Linked DNA regions of Rattus norvegicus. The protein of the gene in region 1 purifies or fractionates together with the protein of each later gene. This does not show direct contact. Links are inferred from orthologs where the notes say so. Each region holds a gene or a part of one and is shown in the gene's direction. Other genes may lie near its edges.

What was found.
Region 2: the proteins of Ap1g1 (region 1) and Ap1m2 purify together in Homo sapiens (affinity purification with mass spectrometry; 4 studies listed by BioGRID and IntAct, counting the BioPlex papers as one, with this or other methods). This does not show direct contact. The link is inferred for Rattus norvegicus from reciprocal best matches to the Homo sapiens genes AP1G1 and AP1M2.
Region 3: the proteins of Ap1g1 (region 1) and Ap2m1 purify together in Homo sapiens (affinity purification with mass spectrometry; 3 studies listed by BioGRID and IntAct, counting the BioPlex papers as one, with this or other methods). This does not show direct contact. The link is inferred for Rattus norvegicus from reciprocal best matches to the Homo sapiens genes AP1G1 and AP2M1.

What each region holds. Positions count from the first base shown.
Region 1 is NC_086037.1:54,709,590-54,713,235, forward strand, and holds part of Ap1g1 (AP-1 complex subunit gamma-1), read left to right. Parts: intron 1-681; coding exon 682-777; intron 778-1,135; coding exon 1,136-1,216; intron 1,217-1,391; coding exon 1,392-1,490; intron 1,491-3,646. UniProt on the Homo sapiens protein: Subunit of clathrin-associated adaptor protein complex 1 that plays a role in protein sorting in the late-Golgi/trans-Golgi network (TGN) and/or endosomes.
Region 2 is NC_086026.1:28,129,748-28,133,930, reverse strand, and holds the start of Ap1m2 (AP-1 complex subunit mu-2), read left to right. Parts: upstream 1-1,288; 5' UTR 1,289-1,321; coding exon 1,322-1,363; intron 1,364-3,856; coding exon 3,857-4,013; intron 4,014-4,183. UniProt on the Homo sapiens protein: Subunit of clathrin-associated adaptor protein complex 1 that plays a role in protein sorting in the trans-Golgi network (TGN) and endosomes.
Region 3 is NC_086029.1:93,865,656-93,869,893, reverse strand, and holds the start of Ap2m1 (AP-2 complex subunit mu), read left to right. Parts: upstream 1-1,413; 5' UTR 1,414-1,441; intron 1,442-3,696; 5' UTR 3,697-3,739; coding exon 3,740-3,813; intron 3,814-4,238.

The sequences.
Region 1 (3,646 bases):
ATATGTATAGTCTCTTGGTGCAGTTGGAGGACATGAGTGAGTACTGGCACTAATCTGGCAGATGTCTCTGAGTGAAGGGCAGGGCACCAGGGTCGCAGGTGTACTTTCTTCATCTATCACCTCCGTTTGGCTCATGCTGGTCACTGGTGTTTCCTGCTGCTTTCTGGGAAAGGATATATAATTAAACCTATCTTCAGAGGAGAGACCGTTTTCTATTTGAAGTGTGATATGCTTTATATTTTAATAAGATCATTGGTTAATGCTTTATATGACTTTATTAGGATGGATAAAAAGGAAATGATTCTTGCTACCCAAGAGTTTCAAGTTCTACCAAGTAGAGCTGCAGTATTTCCCACAGACCTCTTTTATTTGGTTCCCATCGGCTCTCGGCCCACTGTGATTCTAGTGTCTTTACATATTGAACTCTGGAGAAAAAAAGTTTTGGCTTGTTTTCATGCTGTTGAAGTGCCTATTACCGGATAGGTTTTGGCCTTAGTATCTGAGTTAATACTTCAGCCATTTGCATTACTGTATTTACAGCAGAAGAAATTTCTTGGACTCAGACCCTTGCATCATTTTCTAAACCAAAGAACCTGCTTATTGAAGAGATAGGCTGATAGAGTCACTATTTTATTATGGTTGTTTTAATGCACCTTTTTTTTTTTTTTTTTTTCCCTGCAGCTTGTGCCCCAATTAGTTCGTATTCTAAAGAACCTCATCATGTCCGGATATTCCCCAGAACATGATGTTTCTGGTATCAGTGACCCCTTTTTGCAGGTGAGTTTGAAAAACATTTTGGATAAATGCCATGTGAATGCAATGCTTTGAAGAGATTGTTTCCTTCATCTTAAGTTTATATAGGGTACAGACTGATAATATACTAATTATATTAATAAGTGAACTAGGGCCAAATAAGTATTGTATTGAATTAGTGAAGTGACACTGTAAATGTAAAATTTACTGTGAAGTGTGGGTTATCTTATGACTTCATTGATGTAGACATGTGCATGGCCTCTTTAAAACAATGTTGAAATTTCTCCTGATGGCGTCTAACTTCACTTGAAATGTTTGAGTTTCATTCTGAATGAGATTGAGTCAGACATAACTTGTTGACCTTTTGTATCCTGCATGTTAGGTACGAATTTTGCGGTTATTAAGAATTTTAGGACGGAATGATGATGATTCAAGCGAAGCTATGAATGATATATTAGCACAGGTGAGTTGATCCAACTTGAAATCATTGAAGTTTCATTTTCATCCAGCAGAGAGTAGAAGAGAGTATCTGGGCGAATAGTTCTGCTTCTCCTTAGTGAGTTACTGAGTTGTCTCCTTGCACTTGGTAGTTTGGAAAGTGTTGCTTTCCCACTTATGCACTGCTGTCTGTTTTTCAGGTCGCCACTAATACAGAGACCAGTAAGAATGTAGGGAATGCTATTCTGTATGAAACGGTTTTGACTATCATGGATATTAAATCAGAGAGTGGATTGCGTGTAAGTCTTTTTGAATCTTCTCTTTCCTCTAAACATTTTACTTAAAGTGATTGAACTGGGCTTCAGTACTTTGAAACAGATTCCATTTGGAACTTTAGGAAGGACTCTCGTACCAAAGCATGCCATTGTGACTTTATGTGTGCTTTAACCTTGACGAAAACACTAAAGCCTGGAAGGACTGAGGAGGGGATACAGCTATATTCCTGTGTGAAGGAAGTCTTTCAGAGTAAGCTTTTACTAGACACAACCTGAATTGTACCTATCACTCTAAACAAGGCACAGATGCAGTAGTTAAATAAATTTATTTAAGCAATAAACCTATAGAGCACGAAACTCAGGTAGCCTCGAAATCGTACTGAGAGGAAAATGTTAGCTCTGTAGCTTTCGTATCGTTTCCTCTTCCACAGGAAAACACTATTTTGTGATGCTTTGCCTATATTGGAACAGCATCTTGCTACATAATATAGATGGGGCCGGCCTGGAATCTTCTCTAGGGTGGGTTGGCCTCAATTTGTTGATTCTTGTGCTTTAGCCTCCCAGTTCTGGGGTCATAGGTTTGCTCCACCACATCTAGCCTTTTTTTCTACTGTCATTTAATGTTGAAACAATTTTAGATTTTTTTTTAAATTAATTGTGTGTATGCCTGTGCTTGTGGTAAGAGCAGCATCCATGGAGACCAGAAAAGGATGTTGGATTCCCCAGACCTGGAATTACACATGGCTTGAGCAGCCTAATATAGGTGCTGGGAACCAAGTTTGGATCTCTGGAAGGCTATCAGCATGTCTTCTGAACTTTCGTATATGCTGTGCATTCCCTTGCCCGGCTTTCCCAGAGCAGTGTCTTACAGACTTATACATCTTATGAAGACCAGGGAATTAACCTGAATTGTAGATTTCATTTAGATTTTCTAAGTTTCCAGGTAGTATTTATTTTCTGTTACAGCATGAGCCTACATGACATTTAATTGTCACTTCTTGTTAGTCTCCTGTCTGTTAGTTTCTTAGTTTCTCTTTATCTTTCAAGATTTTGACACTTTAGAAATATTGATCAGTTGTTTTGTAGAATGTAACTCAATTTGGTCTGTCTGATTTTTTTTTTTCATAATTTTATAGATTAAAGTTATACATTTCTTGGCAAACGTCCATACATTGATAACTCCTTTGCAGTAGAGCATGCCAGGCAGCACAGTTTTCTTAGTGCTGTGATGTCAGCTGGGTGTGCCGCCCAGATTCATTTGTTTGCTTTTCAATAATTTGTTTTTATTCATGTTATATCCTGATCACAGCCCCCCCTTCCCAGTCCCACCCTTACAACCCCCCCCCCCATTACTCCCCTTGAGTACCACCCAGTGGCAGGGAACAGAACCTGAGAAAGCCCCGCACCACTTGTTAGGGGACCCACATGAAGACAAGCTGCACATTTATTTTACTTTTTATGTGGATGAGTGTCTGCCTGCACATATGTACGTGCTCCATGTGAATCCCTATGTATTCCTGGTTCCTACAGAGTTTGGAAGAGGGCATTGGATCCCCTGGACCTGGAGTTATGGATGATTGTGAGCTATCATGTGGGTGCCAGGGATGGAATCCAGGTCCTTTACAAGAGCACCAAGCTATTAATCACTCAGCCATCTCTTCCAGCCCAATATGTGGTGTCTTTAGAGCTGTGTAATTTATTGTCTTTCCCTTTGTAATTAAAATTCTTGGGAGGAGACACTCTGAGCCTGTGCAAATACAGTTTTAGGCTTTTGTCCATGATTTTTAGTATCTGGTGTCTTTGGAAGGCACAGTGGGTGTCAGATCCCTAAAACTTGATGTACGGATGCTTGCAGCTACCACAGGGTGCTGGGAACTGAACCCAAATCCTTTGGAATAGCAGGAGCCAGAGCTGTTAACATTGTGCCATTTTCCAGTCCCCCCTCCTGCCTTTTCTTCCTTCCTTCCTTCCTTTCCTTTCCTTTCCTTTCTTTTCTTTCTTCTTCTTCTTCTTTTTTTTTTTTTAAGAAAATGGTTCATTTTGGAAAATTAACCCTTAAAACACCATTTTGTTTTGTTTATAGGTTTCTCCTCAGATTTTGCAAAGATAAAGAAACAAAACAAAACAAAAACCCAATAACCAAATGTGAAGGGGATATAGCTCAGCTGGTAGAGTGTTGG
Region 2 (4,183 bases), on another chromosome or scaffold:
CTGAGACAGACTGACTGTGCTCGGCTCGTAAGCTCTTCATACAGGCCCCATCTCTGCTTTAAGACAATTCCCGTGGGCGATTCTCATAGCTCCATCTGGACTCTGGGCCTGATAAAGGTCGGCGGCAGCCACGATGCCCAAGCGGGCTTTGTCGCCCCCTGGCGGCCTCTCAGGAAACGTTTCTTCCACAGCGGAGCGCTATGCTTAGGCTTGGTTAAGGTTTGGAGTGGTTTTGGTTTTTTTGTTGTTCCCCCCAACACACACACTACCCTCCGCAAAACGGTATCCCAGCAACGGGAAAGTAGAGACAGAACGATCTTGAATTTAAGGATAGCTTGGGCTTTAAAAAAAATGAATGAAATTAGAAAACAAAAAACAAAGTCAGGCCTGGTGGCTCATGACTGTAATCACAGAACTTGTAAGGCTGTGCCGGTCTGGACCACATAATGAACTCTTCTAGAATTAACAACACAACACAACACAAACGATAAGCAAAAACAAACAAACAAAAAATTACACAGGCGCCTTTAATCCCAGCAGACACAGGCAGCCAGCCTGGTCTACAGAGTGAGTTCCAGGACAGCTACGGATACACAGGGAAACCCTGTTTTGAAGAAAAAAAAAAAAAACCCAAACCAGTCAATCAATAACAACAACAACAACTATAACAGAAAGTAGTAAAATGTATAGTGTGAGAAGGATTACATTACTGAACACCTAGTGGTGGGCACCGGGTCACACATAGAAAACAGGCAAAGTCCTGTTGATACTGTAGGTGTAGGTGATTGAACAAGCTATACAGACACATGAACAGACGGATGCCCTGGTGGGTGGGTGGATGCGTGGGTGGGTTAGTAGATGTTGATGTGAATGTGTATATGTATGTGGGAGGGGGTGAGGGATGGATAGCTGACTGGAATGGGAGTGTGGGTGGAGACGGGGTGGGCGGATAAGAGGATGAATGAATAGACGTACGGTGGGCGAGGGGGGCGGTGGGTGAGTTGAAGGATCAATGGATAAATGTCCTGGAGTTTCACCATCCACCCAGGCATTCCTGATCCCCAAAGAAACGTGGGTTAGGGCTGCAGTCGCACCTCTGTTCTGCCTTTCCTAGCTCTTGGAGCAGCCTTGGCATTTGCTGCCGACCGTGCCGCTCACCTGGCGGCCTCCCCTTTAAGACGCATTCACCTGGCGGCCTCCCCTTTAAGACGCGCTCACCTGGCGGCTCACCTGGGCGAAGGCGCTTCCGCAGGAAGAAGGAAGCAGCAGCGCTGCCGCCTCTGCAGCTCGCTCTCGCCTCCTAGCTTCACCGGGCGCCACCATGTCGGCCTCGGCAGTCTTCATTCTGGACGTCAAGGGCAAGGTGAGGCAGAGGGCAAGGGATCGTGGTTCGACGGGCGAGCACGAGGGCCCAGGGCACAGGACCGGGAGCTGGGGACCCGCCCTCTTCAGCCGGCATCTGTGGCAAGGGGTTTCACCTCTCTGAGCGTCATTTCTCCTGTTTGTAAAAATGAGAATAAGAAAGATATCCACCATCTGAGCGCCCTGAACCAGTGAGCACAGCCCTTCTGCAACTCCGGAGTTCAATAAATGGGCCAAGTGTAACTCTGGAGTAGAAGGCCATACCCCTATCCTTGCAAGTCGACTGTCGCTTCTCCTGTGACAATGACAGCAGTAGAGATGAAAACGAGATCCCTGTAACATAATGACACAAGGTCGTGTGCCTCAGTTGTCAGCCAGCTGGCCTAGCACACAGACCTAGGTGTGATCCCAGTGCACTGCATAAACAGTCCCAATTCCAGCTCTTGGGAGGTGGAGGCAGAGGGATCAGGAAATCAAGGGAGTTTGAATCGGGCCTGAGCTACGTGACACTCACTGCCTCAAAACCAAAACAGGCTCAACAAGCCCAGACACTGGCTGTGTAAGTCTGGTAACCTGACCCAAACCCAAGTAAAGGGGAATGGAGACAACCTACAAAGTTGTCCTCTGACCACACCCACACAGACACACACAAACACACAGACACACAGACACACACAAACACACAGACACAGACACACACGCACATGCACACACTCCATACACACAAAAAATAGTGCCTGTAAAAAGATCCAAGAAGGACAAGGAGGCCAGGTGTTTTACCATGCACCTGTCACTCTAGCTACTGTGGAAGCTGAGTCAGAGAGATGACCTGAGCTCAGGAGGGCAAGGCCAGCCTGGGCTACAATAGCAAGACAAAGAAATAAATAACCTTGAACAAGAACGGCCCAGGAGGGGAAGAGGTTCAGGTCCACCTCTCAGCTTTTTGTGGACATAGTTTTAAACCTCAGCTTCTTCAGTCTGGAAAATGGACCCAAAGACACCTACCTCAAGGCTGAGGCAGGCACTGAATTCCTCAGGAAAGGTTCTTCCTCCTCTTCCTCCTCAGTGGTGGGGGCGGAACCCAAGCTAAGCCAGCATACTGCCACTAAATTACGTCTTAAAGATTTTATTTATTTATTTATTTATTTATTTATTTATTTATTTATTTATTTAATGTATACCTAACTGTCTGTAGACACACCAGATCCCAATACAGATGACTGTGTGCCACCATGTGGTTGCTGGGATTTGAACTCAGGACCTCTGGAAGAGCAGTTGGTGATCTTAACCACTGAACCATCCCTCCAGCCCAACTAAATTACATCTTAATCCTCCTCATACTATTTAAAAATTACACTTATTTGCTCTGCCTGTGTGAGAGTCTGTTCTGTCCTATCCCCACGTGTGTGGCTTGGACCTCTGGCCACCAGGCTCGGCAGCGAGACCCTTCAACCACTGAGAACCCCTGAGTTCTCTTGCGGTCCCTCCTGTGCGGTTTAAATTTGAAATGGTATCTGGTTGAATTCCCCAGGCTGGCTTCAGATTCACTCTGGAGCTTTGCTAGGCTTTGGACCTGCTATCCTTTTGCCTCAAGCTTCCCTGCTAACTCTGACGACAGGCCCTTGGTAAGAAAGACAAGGCCCAGCACGTCCACTGATTGATGTCGGAAGGACCTCATACGCAGTAGGATGGTCCTCTACTGCTGAGCCCATGTTCCTTATTTTTCATTTATTTATTTTTTTGTCAGAACCTCATGTAGTTTAGGTTGGCTTTGCACTTACTATGTAGCCGAGGATGGCCTTGTACTTCCGCCTCTACCCCCCAAGCCCATCCCCAGCATAACACGTACTGGCAGAATGTTGATGGTGTTCAGTATGCACCCAGGACACTTTTAGCTGTGGGTGTCAGGTACCTACATAACAGGCATGAAAACCGAGGCGTACAGAGGTAGAGTCCTAGCTAGGCCCCTCACTGAATTGCACACAGAGTGTGATATGGTGACAAACACTGTGACCCCAGCACTCTAGAAACCGAGGCAGGAGGATTGAGAAGTTGAGACCAGCTGGGGCTTCGTAGAAAAGGTGCCTAAATTAATCAGAAAAGGAAAGACAGTCGGGGAGGTAATTTACTCCTAGAGGGTTTGTAACATTAGCTCTCGCCAGGATGGAAGCAGGGGGATCAAGAGTTCAAGGTCGGGGCTGGGGATTTAGCTCAGTGGTAGAGCGCTTACCTAGGAAGCGCAAGGCCCTGGGTTCGGTCCCCAGCTCCGGAAAAAAAAGAACCAAAAAAAAAAAAAAAAAAAAAAAAGAGTTCAAGGTCATCCTCTGTGACATCTGGTGTCAAGGGCAGCCTATGCTACCTGAGGTATCATCCCCTCCATAAAACAAAAGAGGCCAGTGTGGGGGGCATAAAAGAAAGTTAGAAGAGAATTAGACATCCTAAGGCCCTAGGTCTGTGCGCTGGTGGTGACTTAGTCCTGTCTCTCTCCCCTTAGCCTCTGATTAGCCGAAACTACAAAGGCGATGTGCCCATGACGGAGATTGACCACTTCATGCCTCTGCTTATGCAACGGGAGGAGGAGGGTATGCTGGCCCCGCTGCTGAGCCACGGCCGAGTGCACTTCTTGTGGATCAAACACAGCAATCTCTACTGCATCCTCATTGTGGGAAGGAGCGCCAGGAACCTGATTCAGAGGGCGGTGACCTAAGAGCAGGATTTGCCCGGTTCATGTGCCTTAACTCAGGTTGTGCCTGGGGTAAGGGGTAGTAGAAATGGGGTGGGGGCGGGGGGCATAACAGGGGACATGTAACTCCACTCCCTC
Region 3 (4,238 bases), on another chromosome or scaffold:
CACAGTGCCTGGCACATAATAGAGTAGGTGCTCAATAAATGGTAGCTATTATTATTACTATTTCTATTTCTATGTTGTTGTTGTTGTTATCACTAATTTACTCTAAACTTTTAGGGTATGTTGGGAAGAGAAAGCTTTTGTGAAGATAGACATGAAGCCTTCAAAGGTTACAAGTTTCTGGGTTTTGGCTTCTGGAAGGAGGTTGCTAGGAATAGTAGGGTTAGCAACCAGATTTGAACACCCACCCCTTCCTTTCTGCCATAGAAGTCTCTGGCCTGTTTAGGCAACAGATGTCTCTGTCCACTGAGAGAAAAACCAACTTTTCTAGATTTGGCAAAAATCAGACAGCCGTTTGTGTTCGGGTTGGTTCTGCCTCATTCTCAGTTTGGATATCATAAGAAATCTTTTTTTTTTTTTTTTAAGGTTGAGACAGGGTTTCTCTGTATATCCCTGGCTGTCCTAGAACTCGATCTATAGACCAGGCTGGCCTTGAATTCAGAGATCTGCCTGCCTCTGCCTCTGCCTCTGCCTCCTGAGTGCTGAGATTAAAAGCATGTGCCACCACTGCCCAGATGAGAAATGGGATTTTAAAATCCCATGCCCAACTAAACTGGAGTGGTGGACAAACAGGCTCCCTTTTGTAGCCTGGGATGTCTTGAAACTCCCTATTTAGACCAGGCTGGCCTCAAATTCACAGAGATGCTCTTGCCTCTGCCTTCAGAGCTCTGGAATTAACGGCATATGTCACCAGCACACCACAGTCACAGATTTTGCTGAGAAAAACACTAATGTTTTACCAAGAATTAGTGCTTTCCTTCCCAGCCTTTCTGTTTGGATAATTATCCCTGAGAAAGGGCTCAGTCCTATCCTGGAATATATATAAAACCTCGGGAGAATCAAATGTGTTAAAAAGCAATAAATTCAGCAGTAACGGGCTTATGCAAGTTGTGTTTGTAAAGTGAATATAGCCACTCTTCGAAATCTGGAGACAATAAAAATCTAATAATTCAAAATTTACAATTGGTTTCAACAAACAGCTTTGGTCTCTTAAAGCCTACCTCCTCTAACTAGGAACGAGAAGGATTACAGAGACTACACTTCCCGTGATTCTCAGTGAAGCAAATAGTCTGTGGAGCGTACCATGACCCGTGTTGCCAGCAAGACGCACTGAGGCCGACGTCGACTCTGTCTCGAAGGCTGTCGGTAGTTGTAGTTTTGCTAGACTTAGGGCACTCGGATGTGTCAGCTTGAAAGCTTCGGAGACTGACGGGACTTGTAGTCGCCGCTGGAGGTGAGCGCGCAGGCGCAGCTGCGGGCGGGGCGGGGCGGGGCGGGAGCACTGCAGTGAAAGCGGAGGCAGCAGACAGGCGAGCTGGGGGCGGGCGGACATCTTGGGATCCGAGAGTGGCCAGGCCTGCCTTGTGGGGGCTGCTGACTCCAGGTGAGCTGGGAAGCTTGACTTAGAGATCCTTACCGGGCGGCGAGGGTGCCGTGGTCACCTGCCCTGCCCCGCACTGTGCTGGGTGGAAAACTGCCCGCACCCGGGAGTGGCCTCAGCCTCCAGACCCGGGAGGGAGCAGACGACCGGGCGGGGGTGCCTTGGGCGCGATTGCAGCAAGGGCGGGGAACGACGCCCTCCAGTAACCCGCTGGGCGTCTCCGGGAGGAGACTCGGGCCGGAATCCTAGAGCCGGGGACCCCGCGCGGCGCCCCATCCCTAGAATCCTGACAACCGCTCAACCCCGAGGTTTCCCATTCTCCCATCCCCCAGGACATTGACATCCCCTGGTGCCACTCCCTTGGACAGTGACAGGTCTCTCTGGAACACTGAGAGATTCCTTCCTCCTGGTTTACCCCCCACTGCTCTTCTACCTCAGACCTATGACAGCCCCCGCATCCCTTGGTGACATCTCCTCGGCCTAGATGTCTCCCCCCTCTGCTGAGAAAAACTCCACCAACCCCTCATGCTTCACTAAAAGAAGAGTAGGCCCTATCTCTCAGCTTTCTCTTTTTCTACTGTCTATCTTTTCGCCTTGTTTTGCTCCTCCAAAGCTCCTATGACCTTTGTCATAGGAGAACTTGAGGGACTCCCACAGCTGTATTTGCTGCTGTGGGGTCATCCTGGTCTATTGCTAGCAATTACAGCTAATCGGTCCCTTAACTAAATATTCCATTTCTGTCCAGGACACAACACACACACACACACACACACACACACACACACACACACACACACACCACAACCACAGCCACCTCCACCTCCACCACCACTCCCACCCTCGGCTGATACCTGTGGACTTGGTCCTTTGCTCAGGGGACAACCTCCATTTTGCATTTTCTTTCTCACCTTCTTTGAACTGTGAGACAAGTGTGTCCACTACCTTAGTTGACTTGTGACTGGGTTTCAAGGGTTAACTTTTCAGTTTCAGAAAGTCTTGTTAGACTAACATCAGTGAAATTAATACCAGGGTTAATCCAGAAAAATCTAGAACCAGATTAACCTATTTTCTTAAATATTCTAAATTAATTTTGACCCAAATGAATTTGGGCAGTTGAGACATTCTGTTACCTTGCCCATTGCTTAGTAAACACCAGGCCAGAAGTGACTGACTTGGCAGCTCTGGAGTCACAATTTAGCAGGATTAATGCTACATACAGACCTAATTTTTGTCACATTTTGAAATTTTGATAAGACAGTGACCAGAAATAATTGTAAAGGGGGCTCAAAAAGAAAGAAAGAAAGAAAGAAAGAAAGAAAGAAAGAAAGAAAGAAAGAAAGAAAAGAAAGGAAAGAGGGACTTGGCATTTCAGAGTCCTTACTGTTCTTCCAGAAGACCTGAGTTCAGGTCTCAGCCCATGTCGTTTGGTTCAGTACTGCCTGTAACTCAGGCTTGTGGGATGGAGGGCAGGGCTCCACCTGACGTCTAGACTTCCACACACACAGCACACACATTGGCATACCTATGTGAAGGTAAAAATGAAATCTTTCTAAGAAGAACTTGGGAGCATTGGAGCGTGGTTTGTTCGCCCTGGGCCTCTCTGTTCCTTTGCCTGCTTATCTCACTGCCTGGGGAAGACGAGCCTGCTTCAGCCACATTCCTGGGTTTGTGTTAGAGCCTAAGGGCCTCTTCTCCCACCCCCACCTCACTCTGCACACCCTTTCCTGGAATGTGTAGCCTTGTAGACGGTCATGCTCTGCTGCCTTCTTGGAAGAATAGTGCTTGCTCTAAAAGTTATGCCTGGTGGCGGGCACAAGCTAACTCCTACCGCCTAATCCCTACCGCCATTCCTGCATCCGCGGGCAAGCTTTTCTCTGACTCACTGAAGTTGCGGGGAGTGAGAGTCTGCACAGCAGGGGTTTGAAAAGAATCTTAGCTGAGCTCAGCATTGTGAAGACGACGGGGAGGGGTGCGAGTGGGGGTGGGGGGGTGGTTACTTTCAAGCTCAGCCCTCAGAAAAGACTGAGTAAAATGGCCTTAACCCTGGGCCCCACACTTAAAGTACTGTCTCCTATCCAGTGTGGAATAAACAGGAACTGGAGCCTCGCTGTGCGTGCAGGCGGGGCTTCCTTGGGAGGGCTGCAGGGTCACTTGCTAGAGGACTGAGTCAGGAAAAAAGGCAGCCCTGTACAGCCCCGCTGAGATGGGCAAGGGATCTAAAGATTTCCCCATTCCCTATCCCCACCTTTCCTACCTAGGTCTGTTCTCAGAGCAATGGGTCACAGAGACTGAGCTGCCGCCATGATCGGAGGCTTATTCATCTATAATCACAAGGGGGAGGTGCTTATCTCCCGAGTCTACAGAGATGACATCGGGTAAGTCCCCTGCCTGAGCACGCTGTGCCCCAGCCCCCCCATCGCCTCAGCCTGAGCATGCAATATAGCCTGGTTCCATTGGGCATCGGCCCAGCTGCTAGGCTCAGGGCCTGGGGATGACACCTCCACCCCCTAGGGTTAGGAACTCCTGCCCTTCCTGCTCCCTGTAGGTCTGGTCTGGTGGCTGAAGATGAGTGCTTTTGCCTGGTCAGGTTGATTCTTCCTTTCAGGAGGGAGCACTATCTCCTGTGGGTGTGGTTAGTGTGTGCTCGGTGGTACTAATCCATCTAAATCTTGCTTTCAAATCCTTCTCATACTGAGAGCCTTCCCTAGATCCCCTTAAAACCCCTCTCTAGTCTGTTGACTCAGCTGTTTTCTGTTCTTCTGGACCCTCCCTGGTTGTGAACAGGCTGCGCTCTGTGGGT